3 linked regions of the Arabidopsis thaliana genome follow. The protein of the gene in region 2 interacts with the protein of the main gene of each other region in a pairwise test. Each region holds a gene or a part of one and is shown on either strand. Other genes may lie near its edges.

The links.
Region 1: the proteins of AT1G35830 (region 2) and WRKY51 interact in a two-hybrid assay, tested with the Arabidopsis thaliana proteins (one study listed by BioGRID).
Region 3: the proteins of AT1G35830 (region 2) and WRKY33 interact in a two-hybrid assay, tested with the Arabidopsis thaliana proteins (one study listed by BioGRID).

What each region holds. Positions count from the first base shown.
Region 1 is NC_003076.8:25,906,234-25,910,395, reverse strand, and holds WRKY51 (WRKY DNA-binding protein 51), read right to left. Parts: upstream 2,150-4,162; 5' UTR 1,982-2,149; coding exon 1,740-1,981; intron 1,633-1,739; coding exon 1,486-1,632; intron 905-1,485; coding exon 709-904; 3' UTR 515-708; downstream 1-514. Other genes in the region: CLE21 (CLAVATA3/ESR-RELATED 21), read right to left, coding at 3,993-4,162. UniProt on the Arabidopsis thaliana protein: Transcription factor. Interacts specifically with the W box (5'-(T)TGAC[CT]-3'), a frequently occurring elicitor-responsive cis-acting element. Involved in defense responses.
Region 2 is NC_003070.9:13,320,069-13,324,076, forward strand, and holds AT1G35830 (VQ motif-containing protein), read right to left. Parts: upstream 2,444-4,008; 5' UTR 2,055-2,443; coding exon 1,146-2,054; 3' UTR 607-1,145; downstream 1-606.
Region 3 is NC_003071.7:16,106,455-16,111,275, reverse strand, and holds WRKY33 (WRKY DNA-binding protein 33), read right to left. Parts: upstream 3,042-4,821; 5' UTR 2,801-3,041; coding exon 2,558-2,800; exon of another isoform or gene 2,309-2,557; coding exon 2,102-2,308; intron 2,033-2,101; coding exon 1,500-2,032; intron 1,410-1,499; coding exon 1,248-1,409; intron 1,152-1,247; coding exon 737-1,151; 3' UTR 510-736; downstream 1-509. Other genes in the region: AT2G38480 (Uncharacterized protein family (UPF0497)), read left to right, coding at 1-43, 125-316; AT2G38465 (uncharacterized protein), read left to right, coding at 4,466-4,594, 4,758-4,821.

The sequences.
Region 1 (4,162 bases), on a different chromosome or scaffold from region 2:
ATAAGAGAAGTAGAGAGAATCTGGATCGAGATCAGAGAGATCCAAGACTCCCTTCGAATTTACTTACTAGTGTTTGAGATTTGGGCGGAAGAACAGATATGAAACGACTTCGTTTCCTTGCTTAAGTTGTTGAAAGGTAGAAGATGAGATCGGTTCGGGACAATCTACACAACGCACCAAAACCGGATCATAAATCACACCGATCAAAATCCATTATAAACCAAATTACCGGTAACAACTAAACCGAAACAGTTGACCTCGTTGACGCTTACAAGTTACAGAGCTGTCACACAGGCTTTTTTTACAAGTTGCTTTTTTCACATTTCCTTCCCGGTACAATCTTAGTCTGACGCATTTCGGGTCAAATGTCGGTTTAATAATGGATATAAGAATACAAGTAATTCAGGTTTTTCTAAATCATTCTTGAGTCTAATCAAATAAGGATTGGATTCAGATCGCAGTATTTTGGACAACCGTGACCCAAAAAAATTCAACACTACTTTTTAAATAAATATACGCTTAAGATTTTATATCTAGTGAGTCAGTGACCTACAAAATGTACTCATAGCAATATACATACATTAAACATTTATAACCACGAAATAAGTAACTCCTTTATTATACACCTATCAAATTATACAAAGCATTGAGATTATAATATTAATATTGTTGGTATCTTACAATCTCAACGAGGATGAGAGATTTGGATTAAGATCGAAGAAGAGAGTGTTGGTTCCAGTTATCATGATCATAAGATAAAACCATTTCATTGTAATAGACATTAGAGAGACTCTCATGGTTATGGACTCCTTCATATGTTGTAATTACATAAGCTGCATCGTCACCATCTCTCTCTACCCTCTTCTTCACCGAGCAACCTTCACTTGAGCATTTGTAGTAATTCCTTTATATTATAAATTCATCCACCACATGTTAAATTGTAATCACTTTTATAATATATCGCACCAAGTTATATATATATATATATATATATATATATGTATGTATATATATAAGAATATCATTAACCAATTACAGAGTGTGTAAATTGCTTTCAAACCATGCTTTGAATGAAAGTGATATGTTTAGATGATGAATTCATTATATTTGTTTCTCTTATGATATATGAGTCAAAATAAATCTATACGATGACTGATTATCAACCATGGATTCATTGATCCATATACCACTAATCAATCAATTTTGCTATAGGAACCTTTTATATATTTGTATAAACAAAACACACATGCATGATGTATATAGAAGCTAAATTTTATTCCAAGTGGGTTGGTAGATAATACGGGTCCATTAAATAGTATTCAAATCACTATATGGTCTAGCTAGCTAGTGGCTATATATTCTATAACAACAGGATTACAAGATGGTTATAGAAAATTATCAAGCAACCATATGTTATGTTAAAAACAAGTACTAGTAAAACATATTAATTAGATCAAATGAGTAATTTGTAAATGAATAAGTTACCTCTTGTTAATGTTGTTTTTGACAGATTTCTTGCCATACTTCCTCCATTTAAAACCATCATCCATCACATCAATCTTCGATCTCGTTCTAAATGCAACTCGATGACCCGTCTCCTTCGTCTGATCACTCTCTTTACTTCCTCTATTACTACAATATTTATTATCAAAAAGATTAATGAATAAAACTATATATAATGAAATACTAATTGCTTGGTTAAGAATCTTGCCAACAATAATAATTAAAAAGGAACTCACGTTGATTCCTTTTTACTCAACGTTGTTGCGCTGCCGGATCCGCCGCTTTCCCCGGTAAATGTCTCCGACGAAACGATGCTTGTCGGAGATGAGATCTCTTCCTCGATTAATCCATTGTTACCTCCTTCATCTATGTCAAAGAACATCAAATTTGAGAAATCGTTGTTATCCATAAACGGATTAATAAAGTTTTCATCGGAGAAGTACGTAAAATTAGGGCTAGGGTTTTGAGAGATATTCATTTTTTTTTGTTTTTGAAATAGAAAAAAAAATAATTGAGAGAGAGAGAGAGAGAGGTTTAAAGCATCCAAGAACTAGAGCAAGTGAAGAAGAGAAGAGAAAGAGTTATAATGGTCAGTTATTTATATAAAAATGAAAATTATTGTAACAAGTTTTTGTTAAGAAAAGAGGATAATTAAGAGATAAAGATTATTAAACAACTACTACTTATGTCAAGCAATTTCAGGGTAGATACTAGGAAGGTGCTTCAATGCCACGTGTGAAAAAAGGAATATGATGATGACGTCATCTGTTATGACGTATGGACAGACGTTAATAAGGGTGGCGAAAAGTGAGCTTCCACTTAAAGTAATTGTTTTTTTGCTTGGGCTTTACGGGCCCATTTTAAGAGATTTTATCGTCTACATTAGGTAACGTTGATAATTGGATTTTGGTCTTTGGATCAACGGCTGAGGATTTAAGTTGTAAGTTTGCTTATGCTGCGTTTGAAGCAGACAGGACTTTACTTTACAGTGCACACCAAGACACAATAAGATTTGACTTATTGAATTATGTAAATGTAAATTATACTATTAAAGATATTGTCACAAACTTTATTGATTTCTTTTTGGCCTAACTTTTATTTAGCAAATCCTTCAAAATGGTTATCTCATCTGGTCTGGTGAATCCACATATATATATATATATATATATATATATATATATGCAGATCAATATGATTTCGAAAGTTATAAAATTCCGTCTGTTTTTTTACCAAAGATTAACTCTATTAATTAACTAGCTTATAATATTGTTAAAAATCTTATATAAACTATACTCCAATATTGATGGGAAACAGCAAATGCGTTTTTTAATGTTGGCAACATTTTATATATTTTATTTTTTCTTATTAGTCGTTTTTTGTTCTTCCAGAAGTTTTGGCACATTGCAATGTATCATCATACATATATGAATCGTTGACCCACACATATATCATATATGTATGACCAAGTTTTTTTGCTAAGTCTATTCTTAAGTCAACGATTCAAAATTTCAAAGTGGTCTTTTAATCTTGTCTTAAAAGGTAAGACGAAATTTCTTGGTGCCACTCTTAATTGTTTTTGTAACTACAATAATATTCTCTCTGTATTGTGTTAAAACAAACATAAAAACTAATTAACTGAGAATAAACACAGAAACATGTAGTGTGGCTCTGTTTTTAAGAAACACATGACTGGAATCATATAAATATTACCTATTTGAGTGATTTTACATGCAAATGATTAAAAGTTTAAAATCAGATAGTGTTAAAACTTAAACGTTTGCACAAAAAAATGTGTTTTAACTATGATTAACTAAAGTAATTAAGAAGAAGAAAAAGCAATAAAATATAGTATTTTTTAAAAAAGAGGCTAAAATATAAACTGAAAGACTGAAAAAGAAGGGCGGCTGGCCAAAAGTGAAGGAGTGTGTTAGTGTGGGGTTCTAATTGAAAGAACCCCTTTTTCAAGGGGAAAATCTGAAAAAATAAAAAATAATTACATATCTATATTTTAGTGAATTGCTTTGAAAGTGATATATGGACATTTATTAATGAACACCAACCACCTATCAGCTAAAACAGAAAAAAAAACAAAAAAAAAAGATGAGTTACAAGTTACTGACCTTTATATATACAACAATATACCTTATTAGTACGTAAAAAAGAATAATACTGTATTTTGTTAAAACAAATTACAATGACAAAAGAAAATTCACAAAAACGTACTTTTACTCAGTTTATTCTAACATATCACGATATTTTTTCGATTCCATTATTTCTGTTTGCCATATCGTTCCAGCAACTTTGAGCATACAAAATTTAAATGCTAGAAACAATTGAAATTTATCTCATACTATTTTAGAGTTTCCAACCCAACCTAATTAAAGACTATTAATCTTGAAAAGTAAACTAACTTATAACGATACATATATACACCAAACGAACAATTTACGAAGTCGAAGTATGTTGCATCTTTCTCAGTAGTCAGTACTCTACTTGTTGTGCAAAGGATTTGGACCTGTGGGGATAGATCGTTTCTCTTCTTCTTCCTCGTCGCCGTCCGTCTTTCTCCGAAATCTAGACGATCTTCGTCTAACTTTATTAAAATTTGACATCTCCGTGATCACAACCTTGTGATGATTCTTGTAGTATAGTGATCGAG
Region 2 (4,008 bases):
TAATGAAAACATCCATCACATTCTTTTTACAAAACATCATAATTTACAGGTCTTCGGAGATACATATATAGATAGTAGAAGATGAATTCAATTCGGACAATCTGAATATTGAACTCAAATAATCAAATCCAAAAAACTAAACTATACTTTAATATCGTTAAAAATGAATTTATTTTTCCTATATCTTAAAAAAAGAAAACTAAATCCGGGCTTGGAAATAAAACAATGTTAAACTTTAGTTATTTAATTTAGATTATATTTTAGTTAAAACTGTTATCCATAATCTGACAATCCAAAAATTATATATATAACAAAAAAAAAAAAAAAATTGAAATCCATTTCGAACGTCCTAGCTTCACTATACAATGTCCGTAAATGTTTTGGCAGTACTAAACTACTAATCTGTTATTAAGGCGATACTTAATATGGGACACAACTCTCAACGTTGAAATGAATCAAACAAAAATAATTTGATTATTTCACGAAAACATCTCATTTTGTAGTTAGTTTCATATGTAACATATATTTTTATATATATATATATATATATATATATATATATACACATTGTAAGAGAAAAACATGTATGTGAGTAATTTTGAATCTCTAGGCTCTAGCTAACTACGTCGAAAACATTTTAACAAAAATAGAAAAAAAAAACTACATTGAAAAAGAAAGGGACAAATACTAAGACCTAGCTTTTTATTTCGTACAGACAGGGATGGAGAGTAGTTAAAAAAAAGTTGCCGGGACATTAATTAGACTACAAAACCTATAATATATAGAGGGAAGATATGTCAAAGTAACGATGGAACAAAACACATTACACGTGTGAACTGTCCTTGTAGACCAACGAACCAAATCCGAATTAGATTCTCTTCAAGACCTAAGAGCCAAATTTGTAACGTAAAAACATATACATAGATACATTATATTACATACAGTACTTACAACATGTGGAGAGAATCATATACCCCATTATGGGTCATCGTAACGTGTAGACAGAGTATAATCACTAGATATGAGAATAAATATTTCGACGGAATATATCATTCGTAAAAAAAATTATGATAATTCAATCTCAGTGACTACAATCTGATTTTAAGATAAGGTTTCAATTATTAAAAAATAATGTAATATGATATTTAATTATTGGAATCTGTAGGGCAAATCCAGGGATCAACTGTTGTTGTTGTAGTAGTAGTAGTACCTGAAGAGCCTTTGATCGGAGCTGAAGAAGAAGAGGAAATGTTATTATGAATCTCCGGTGGCTTTTCTGTCCGGCGATCAAACTCCGAGAACTGCCTCATCATTAGCTGGTGGTTGTCATCATCAGCCGTAGGATGGTGATTTTGTTGTAATGCTCCAAGATTCATCGAGTCAAGGTCGTGAAGAGAGGAGAGTGTTGGTTGATGATGATGTTGATGAGATAAAAGAGACTGGAACGTAGAAACTTGGTGAGTTTGAGGGAGAGGTAGATCAGGAAACGTCATGGAAGTAGTTGTGTGGTGATGAAGGTTGAGTAAAGAAGATGTTGAAGGATTCAAAGGTTTTTGAGGGATAGGACGAAAAGGGTTATAAGTAAGAGGATCGGAAGGAGATCGGAAAATATCGAAGCGGCGAGTAGTGGAGGAGAAAGGGTGAGAGAAAGGAGAGGCAGGGACGCCGGTGAATTCTTGAACCATAGCTCTGAAGTTAGAAGTGTCGGTGGTGAGAACAGTTGTAGGAGCTCTTCTTGAAGCTCTTGTTCGTTTTCTAGGGTTTCGGGAAGAAGAGGGAGGAGGAGGAGGAGGAGGTGGTGGAGGTTGAGGAGGGAGGAGATGAGTTTGGTTAAGAATGTCGTCGGAGATGAGATTGTTGACAAAGTTTAGATAAGTAGCGGAGGAGGAGGAGGAGGAAGAGAGGGTTGTTGGGTCACCGTAGTAGGTGGAGGAAGACGGTGGTGGTTGGAAGGGTGGGAGGAAGAAAGAGGAGTGATCTTGTGGAGCACCAGTTGATGAAGACTCGTGATCATCGCTCGAAGATTGTAAGCTTCCACTGTTACAAGAATCCATGTGGACATGAAAGAAACAAGAACATAAAGACAAGAAGAAGAAGAGAAGGGTTTATTTTGGTGAATCTAGGGTTTTGAGAAATGAAGTGTATGGGAGAGGAGAAAGAGAAAGCAAAAAGTTTTTTTTTTTTTTACTTAAAGAGGTTGAAGGGAGAGGTATGGTGTCGCCATTGATGGAGAGAGATAGAGAGGAGGCGGTGGCTGGCGAAGAGTCAAACTCAATATGAAAGCGAAAACGAGAGAGAGAGAGAGACAAATATCTCTTTCTTTCTCTAGTGGGGATGTGACGAATGTGAAAAGATAGATAGTGTTGGATTTTTACAACATAAATATATACACACACAATAATCAAATAAAATATACATTGGAGTTTGGTCCACTTGTATCGGGTACTATATAAAATCTTACCTAGGGTAAATTATTTTCTTAAAACAATTCTATCCGAACAAAAATTTAGCTACATGTAATGCTTAAAACCAAAGGAAGTACTAATTGTGGTTATGACACACAAATTAATAAAAGACATAAATTTTATGTTTCGTTTTTATTAATATAGTTTAATAAAACATTACTAATAAAAAAACTGTTTTTATATTGAAAATGTAAATCGAAACATTTTAAAATAAAATTTAGGATATACAAAGACACTTAATTTAAAGCAAAAAATAGTAAATATTGTTACTGTTTAAAGAGTAGTAATAAATGTTATTTATTTCAAAAAGGTCGGACATCTCTCTACTATGTAAATTATTATATATATATATATATATTAGATAAGGACTCGTAATTTTTTAATTTATAAAAAACTAAAATCAAGTTTAACAAAACATTAATCAACAATATTTGTAAGTAGAAATTGTTTAAACAATTAAAAATTTTTTTGTAATAACTAATCAATTAAAAAAAACTGTTTTTATATTGAAAATGTAAAACGAAACATTTTAAAATAAAATTTAGGATATACAGCAACACTTAATTTCAAAAAAAAAAATAGTAAATATTATTATTGTTTAACGAGTAGTAATAATTGTTAATTATTTCAAAAGTTTGGACATCTCTCTAATATGTAAATTCTTTTATATATATATATATATATATATATATATATATATACCATCGTTAACATGTTTGTTTATACTTATGGGTATTTATCTATACTATACGGAATTAGAAAGAAGAATACATGGTAAAAAACGAAAAAAGAGATTTATAACTTTATGTTGATTATTCATAAAGTATTTATAAGAAACACTATATATGACATGTTTATACTTGAATTTTAAGTTAATTAAATTTCCTTCAAATATGAAACACCATTTTTCTCTTTCAACTATCCTAAACTTTCACATTTCATTTTATATTAAGACTTTAAGAGAAATGATTTTGTTTTTTTACTTGATAGTTCATATAATTTTGTTTTAAATGCGGAGGGATATGCTTTGAACCCGGTCATTCACAATTATTTTGTGTAAAAAATAATAATTTTACGCATAGAATTTGAAAATCATTTCTAACAGCAGATGATGGCTCTTCAAAGCTGTGAATTGGCACATTGAAATGAAAACTCTCCAACTTACAGCTCCACATCTGCTACTGATTCTACAATTGGGCTGCTGGGCTTCTTACAGCTACTACTTTAGTAACTTATGTGGGCTGAACATAACATTTTGGATCTGGTTCAGTTACTCCATATTTTTATGTGGGTTTTCACTTGAAAACTAGGCGAGCAAGTCCATTGGGGGCACATGGAAGATTTTTTTTATCATGAATCCTTAACAAAATAAGGCAAAAATTAAATGAAAAATGTGATATAAGTTTGGGAAAAATGTTGTTTTATACTGAACATTCAAAAAGTAGCCAATCAATACGTAAATTCTAAAGTCGGTCAAATTAAACATGATAAAAACGTTGACCAGCCATTTTAACAAAAACAAAACGTTAACCTGGCCAAAATC
Region 3 (4,821 bases), on a different chromosome or scaffold from region 2:
CGATCGCCGGACTTCTATTTTGGTCGATTTCTCCGGCGACCAGGTAATGCCACAAACTGATTATCAATTCTCAGATTTATATATGTAAAGTTATGATTTTTATGCAAAAAAGTGAAATTTGCAGATTGTGGCGTATTTGCTTATATCAGCTGCATCATCTGCAATTCCATTGACAAACATATTCAGAGAAGGTCAAGATAACATTTTCACTGATTCTGCTGCTTCTGCTATAAGTATGGCTATCTTCGCATTCATTGCTTTAGCTCTCTCTGCTCTCTTCTCCGGTTACAAACTCTCCACTCATTCTTTTATCTGAAGATCTCTTTGCAATAATGTGCTTCAGTAGTTATATACCATTGTGATCTTTGTTATACATGTAAATGTCAATTCTTTTATGTGTTCTTATAGCTGATATCAACTTCTGTTATTTGGGTCTGTCAGACTGTCACTGTGTCTCCCTGTGTCACTGTGTGTGTGTGTGTGTGCTTCTTTGATTCATTATTCAAAGTGAAGAAACTGAAAATTGATTGGTTTTATTCCGTGTTCTAGTTCTATGGTACAAAGTACAAACATTAAACATATTACAGGCGTGTGAAAAAACAAATGAAAAAATTTCTCTATGGACTATAGAAGTCTGACTTACTATCCTGCAGGATAACTAGTAAGTAGTAAAATCCTTTGGTGGCAGAAATGTACAAAAGGAACATAAAAAAGGAACAACTGGTTCCTTTTTTCTTCAGGGCATAAACGAATCGAAAAATGAGGTCTCCTCGTTTGGTTCTTCCTTTGCTCTAGAGAATCCACCACCAACAAAGTTTTGTTGCGTTTGAAGGTTGCTGTTGTTGTTATTGTTGTTCATGGCGTAACCAAAAGGCCCGGTATTAGTGTTGTTGTTGTGCAGCATCTGAAGTGTATATGGTGCTTGAGAAGAAGTAGTGTAGTTGGAGTGACCAGCAATAGCAGCTGGTCTAATCGGGACTGAAGACGAATCCTGTGGTGCTCTGTTTGTGGCGTAACCGCTACCACGAGCTGCAGGAACATCGTGGTTGTGTTTCCCTTCGTAGGTTGTGATTACTGCTCTCATGTCGTGTGATGCTCTCTCCACATGTTTCCTCACTGGACAACCGATGGTTGTGCACTTGTAGTAGCTTCTGTTAAGATTCAGCAAATGAAAAGAAAACAAAAGGTCAGATTCTCAAGAACCTTAATTCTGAGTTATTGAGATGCACAATTGTTTATGTTATTACCTTGGATTTGGGTTTCCCTTAACGACTTTCTGGCCGTATTTTCTCCATCTGTAACCGTCGTCAAGAATGTCAATATCACTCGTTGTCTGCACTACGATTCTCGGCTCTCTCACTGTCTTGCTTCCACCACCATTCCCACCATTTGTTTCATTGTCCCCTTTCCTGAAAACACAAAAAAACATACATTTTAGAACTTTCATATTCAAGATTGTTCAAAGAGTAGCAAATTTGGAGGGTGATGATGATCTGTACCATCTCTTTGCTTCAGGTTCACTCCCACAATCTTCTTCGTCTCTGCTGACAATCGATGAGCCTTGTTCGAACTCATCGTCACCAACAGAATCAGAAGTAGTATTATCCTCTTGTTGCATCCCAAAGGAATCAGACTGATGAAAGCTATTATTGGAATTAGGCTGATCAGAAGAAGCTTGACGATTATGATCCAAACTGGCATTGTACACAGCTGAATGAAAAGTCGAAGAAGACGAAGAAGATCTTCTAGTAGACTGAGGTTTAGGATGGTTGTGGCTTCCTTTATACACAATCTCTGTGATCTGACCTTCCAAAGATCTCTCCACTTTCTTCTTCGTTGGACAATTAGGGAAAGTACACTTATAGTAACTCCGAGGATTCTCACTTCCTTTCACCTGTTTTTGTCCGTACTTTCTCCAATTGTAACCATCCTCTCCTTTCCTTTGCTCTCTTCCATTGTAAGATACAGCTTGATTGTTTGGACGAGTCTCGGTTTGGCTCCATTGTTCTGACTGGTTCTTCTTCTGTTGTTCCTGAAACTCAAAACAAAGTTATAGAAAAACTCATAAACAGAGGATTTGAGCTGTTGATGAAGTACATACCTGAGATTGAAAGATAGAACTGTTTGTTGTTGTTGTAGTTGTAGTTGTAGTTGTAGTTGTGGTCGGAGCAGAAACTCCTGATGATTGTGTGTGGAATGAGAAATCGAATAAGTTAAAGTTGTTGTTGTTGCTCTTGTCTCCTTCATTTATACCTTTCTGGTTAGTTACGTTTGTGATTAAAGCTCCTGTGGTTGGAGAAGCTAGAACCTGCAAAACAATCCCAAGAATTGTTCAGACTTCAAGAAAAGAGACAAATAGCAATAACATAATTAAGAAAGAGTCGAGAGTTGACTCTAAAAGTCTTTCTCTCTCTTTGAAACCGTTGACCCATAACTTTATCACTTCCGATCACGATTCATTGTCAAGATGTTAAATCAATGATACATCAAACACAGATTATCATCACTAATTGGATTCATTTCAAAAGAAACAGAGAAAAAAAACAGAGAGGCTTACGTTAGCAGAGGAGGAGACAAAAGCAGGGGAATCGAGAAAAAGAGAGGGACTGAAACAAGTGGAAGGAGAGACAAGAGAAGGAGAGATAGAGATTGAAGAAGGAGCAAAAGATCTGAACTTTGGTATCTCAAGATCTTCCAAAGAGGAAGTAGATGTTCTTCCGGATTGTTGTGACCAATTAGCAGAACCATTCATGTTTTGTCTGGTTCTGCTATTGTCCATTGTAAGAAAAGAAGCAGCCATACGAAAAATGGAAGTTTGTTTTATAAAAGACCAATTTCAGATATATATAGAAAGGAGGGGGGCTTGGAGAAGAAGAAAATGAGAGAAGTGATGGTTCTTGTTCTTCTTCTTGTTTCTGTATATTTGTTGGTTATGTCTGAATATATAAAACATATTGCACGTCTGATTGGTGAATATTATATTATTTTAAAATTTTGTTTAATTGTTCGTTTTTATTTTTAGGGTCACATATGAAGAAGAGTAGTTTCTGAGAAGGTGATAAAAAGTTTGACCGTTGAAAATATGATTAGAAGAAGAAGGAGAAGAGATAGATTGGTCAGACCTTGTGGCCTTGACTCTCAAACGTTGAACGGATTTTTTGAGGGGCGGCTCAATGCTTTCATCATCTTCATATGTCTCGTTCTGACACGTATGATTTATTCTTTATACGATGTTGTAGTATTTTTGGATCAAAAATACAAATTCAAACATTTGGGATTCTTGGCTCTTGCTCAAAAAACCTAGAAAATTTCGGAATCTTGAAAATTTTGACTGTAGGTGTACTAGGAAAGGTTCTCTCATATCTTTAAAGCACATGACATGAGTGTAAAAGATTAGTATTTAGAAGTGAGTTTGTGAGTATTTTACTATTTTTAGCAAAACCTCCTAACTAAAGTCGATATTAAATCCATGTGCGGCTGTTTTTGGTTTCAATCTATTTTTTAGGAGACTTAATTCTACTATGAATAGACTAATTGAACACAAGATTATTCATTTAAAGAATACTAGAAACAAATATTTATTAGAATGTTAAATTCTATGATTATCAAACTATTTTGTATCCGTATCGGTTTTGATATAGAGATAGGCTACAAATTGACCCTAGATAACATTTTGTAGCTTCCGATCAATAAATTGGTATAACTTCTGTCGAAGGTAGGCCTTTTTTTTTTGTATATATGTATTTGAAGTAGCCATAAATGTAATAAGAGAATTACATATTGTGTATATATGTATTTGAAGTAGCCATAAATGTTCTTATTGAGATGTCAGGATGTTTGTCTTCCATCACTGCTACCACGTCTGGCCCTCTTCTTTGGTAGTCGTCTCTGTTTTGTACATAAAACCTTACTCAGTTTGTTGTTTCCTTAACTAGTCTTGTAATATTTGTTATTTGCTTTTTTTATCTAGACGTCCTTGTTTTATATAAACAGTCTATGTACGTTGTATTGTACAATGTTTAATATCAATAACAACACCCTTTGGCAAAAAAAAAAAAATTACATATCGTGTCAAGCATAGTAGTGTAAATTGTAAATCGTTTAGGTATATAAAAGTGATCAGTTTCTTATTGCACGATATGTGGTATGGTTCTTCACGTGGAACCTAAATTAAACGTCATGGATTTTGTGTCGCTTTACCGTGCAAGTTGCAAACTATGCAGTGTTTGTTGATCCGATGACAGTTTCTTTCTTCAGCCCAAAAGCCCAAAAGGCCCAAAGTAAAATAGCCTCTTGCTTTAATACACGTCGGTATCTCTACAGCTAACACGTAAAACAGACGTGGCAAGAGTTGCTTCCAGAATCATTAATAGTTAAAAAAAATCATCATTGGCACAAGAAAGTGAGATATTTCCTAGTCTTGCTTTCAAGTTTCAAGCAATCTATCTATCTCGAAAAAGCAGCGATGCAAGACGCCGAGACATCACGACAGCCGGCGAAGTCTTTGTCCGATCGAGTGAAGACTAACTGTTTATCCATGGCAGTAACATGCCAGGAAGGGTTTAGCTATGTCAAAGCCTTTTTTGTTGGCCAGGTGCGTATACAAGAGTCTTGTTTCGAGCCACTGAAACAAGCGGATCAGAGACTCATGGGTCTTCTTGAATCAATGATCACTTGACGTATTTGGTGTCTCGTTAATTTCCTTATTGATTAGTTTCATTTTGTTATAATCTTTTATTTTTATTTTGGTTTGGAAGACAAAGAGATTGACGGCAAAGAACGAGAAGGAAGCTACGGAGGCTCATCTAACGGAGACAAAAA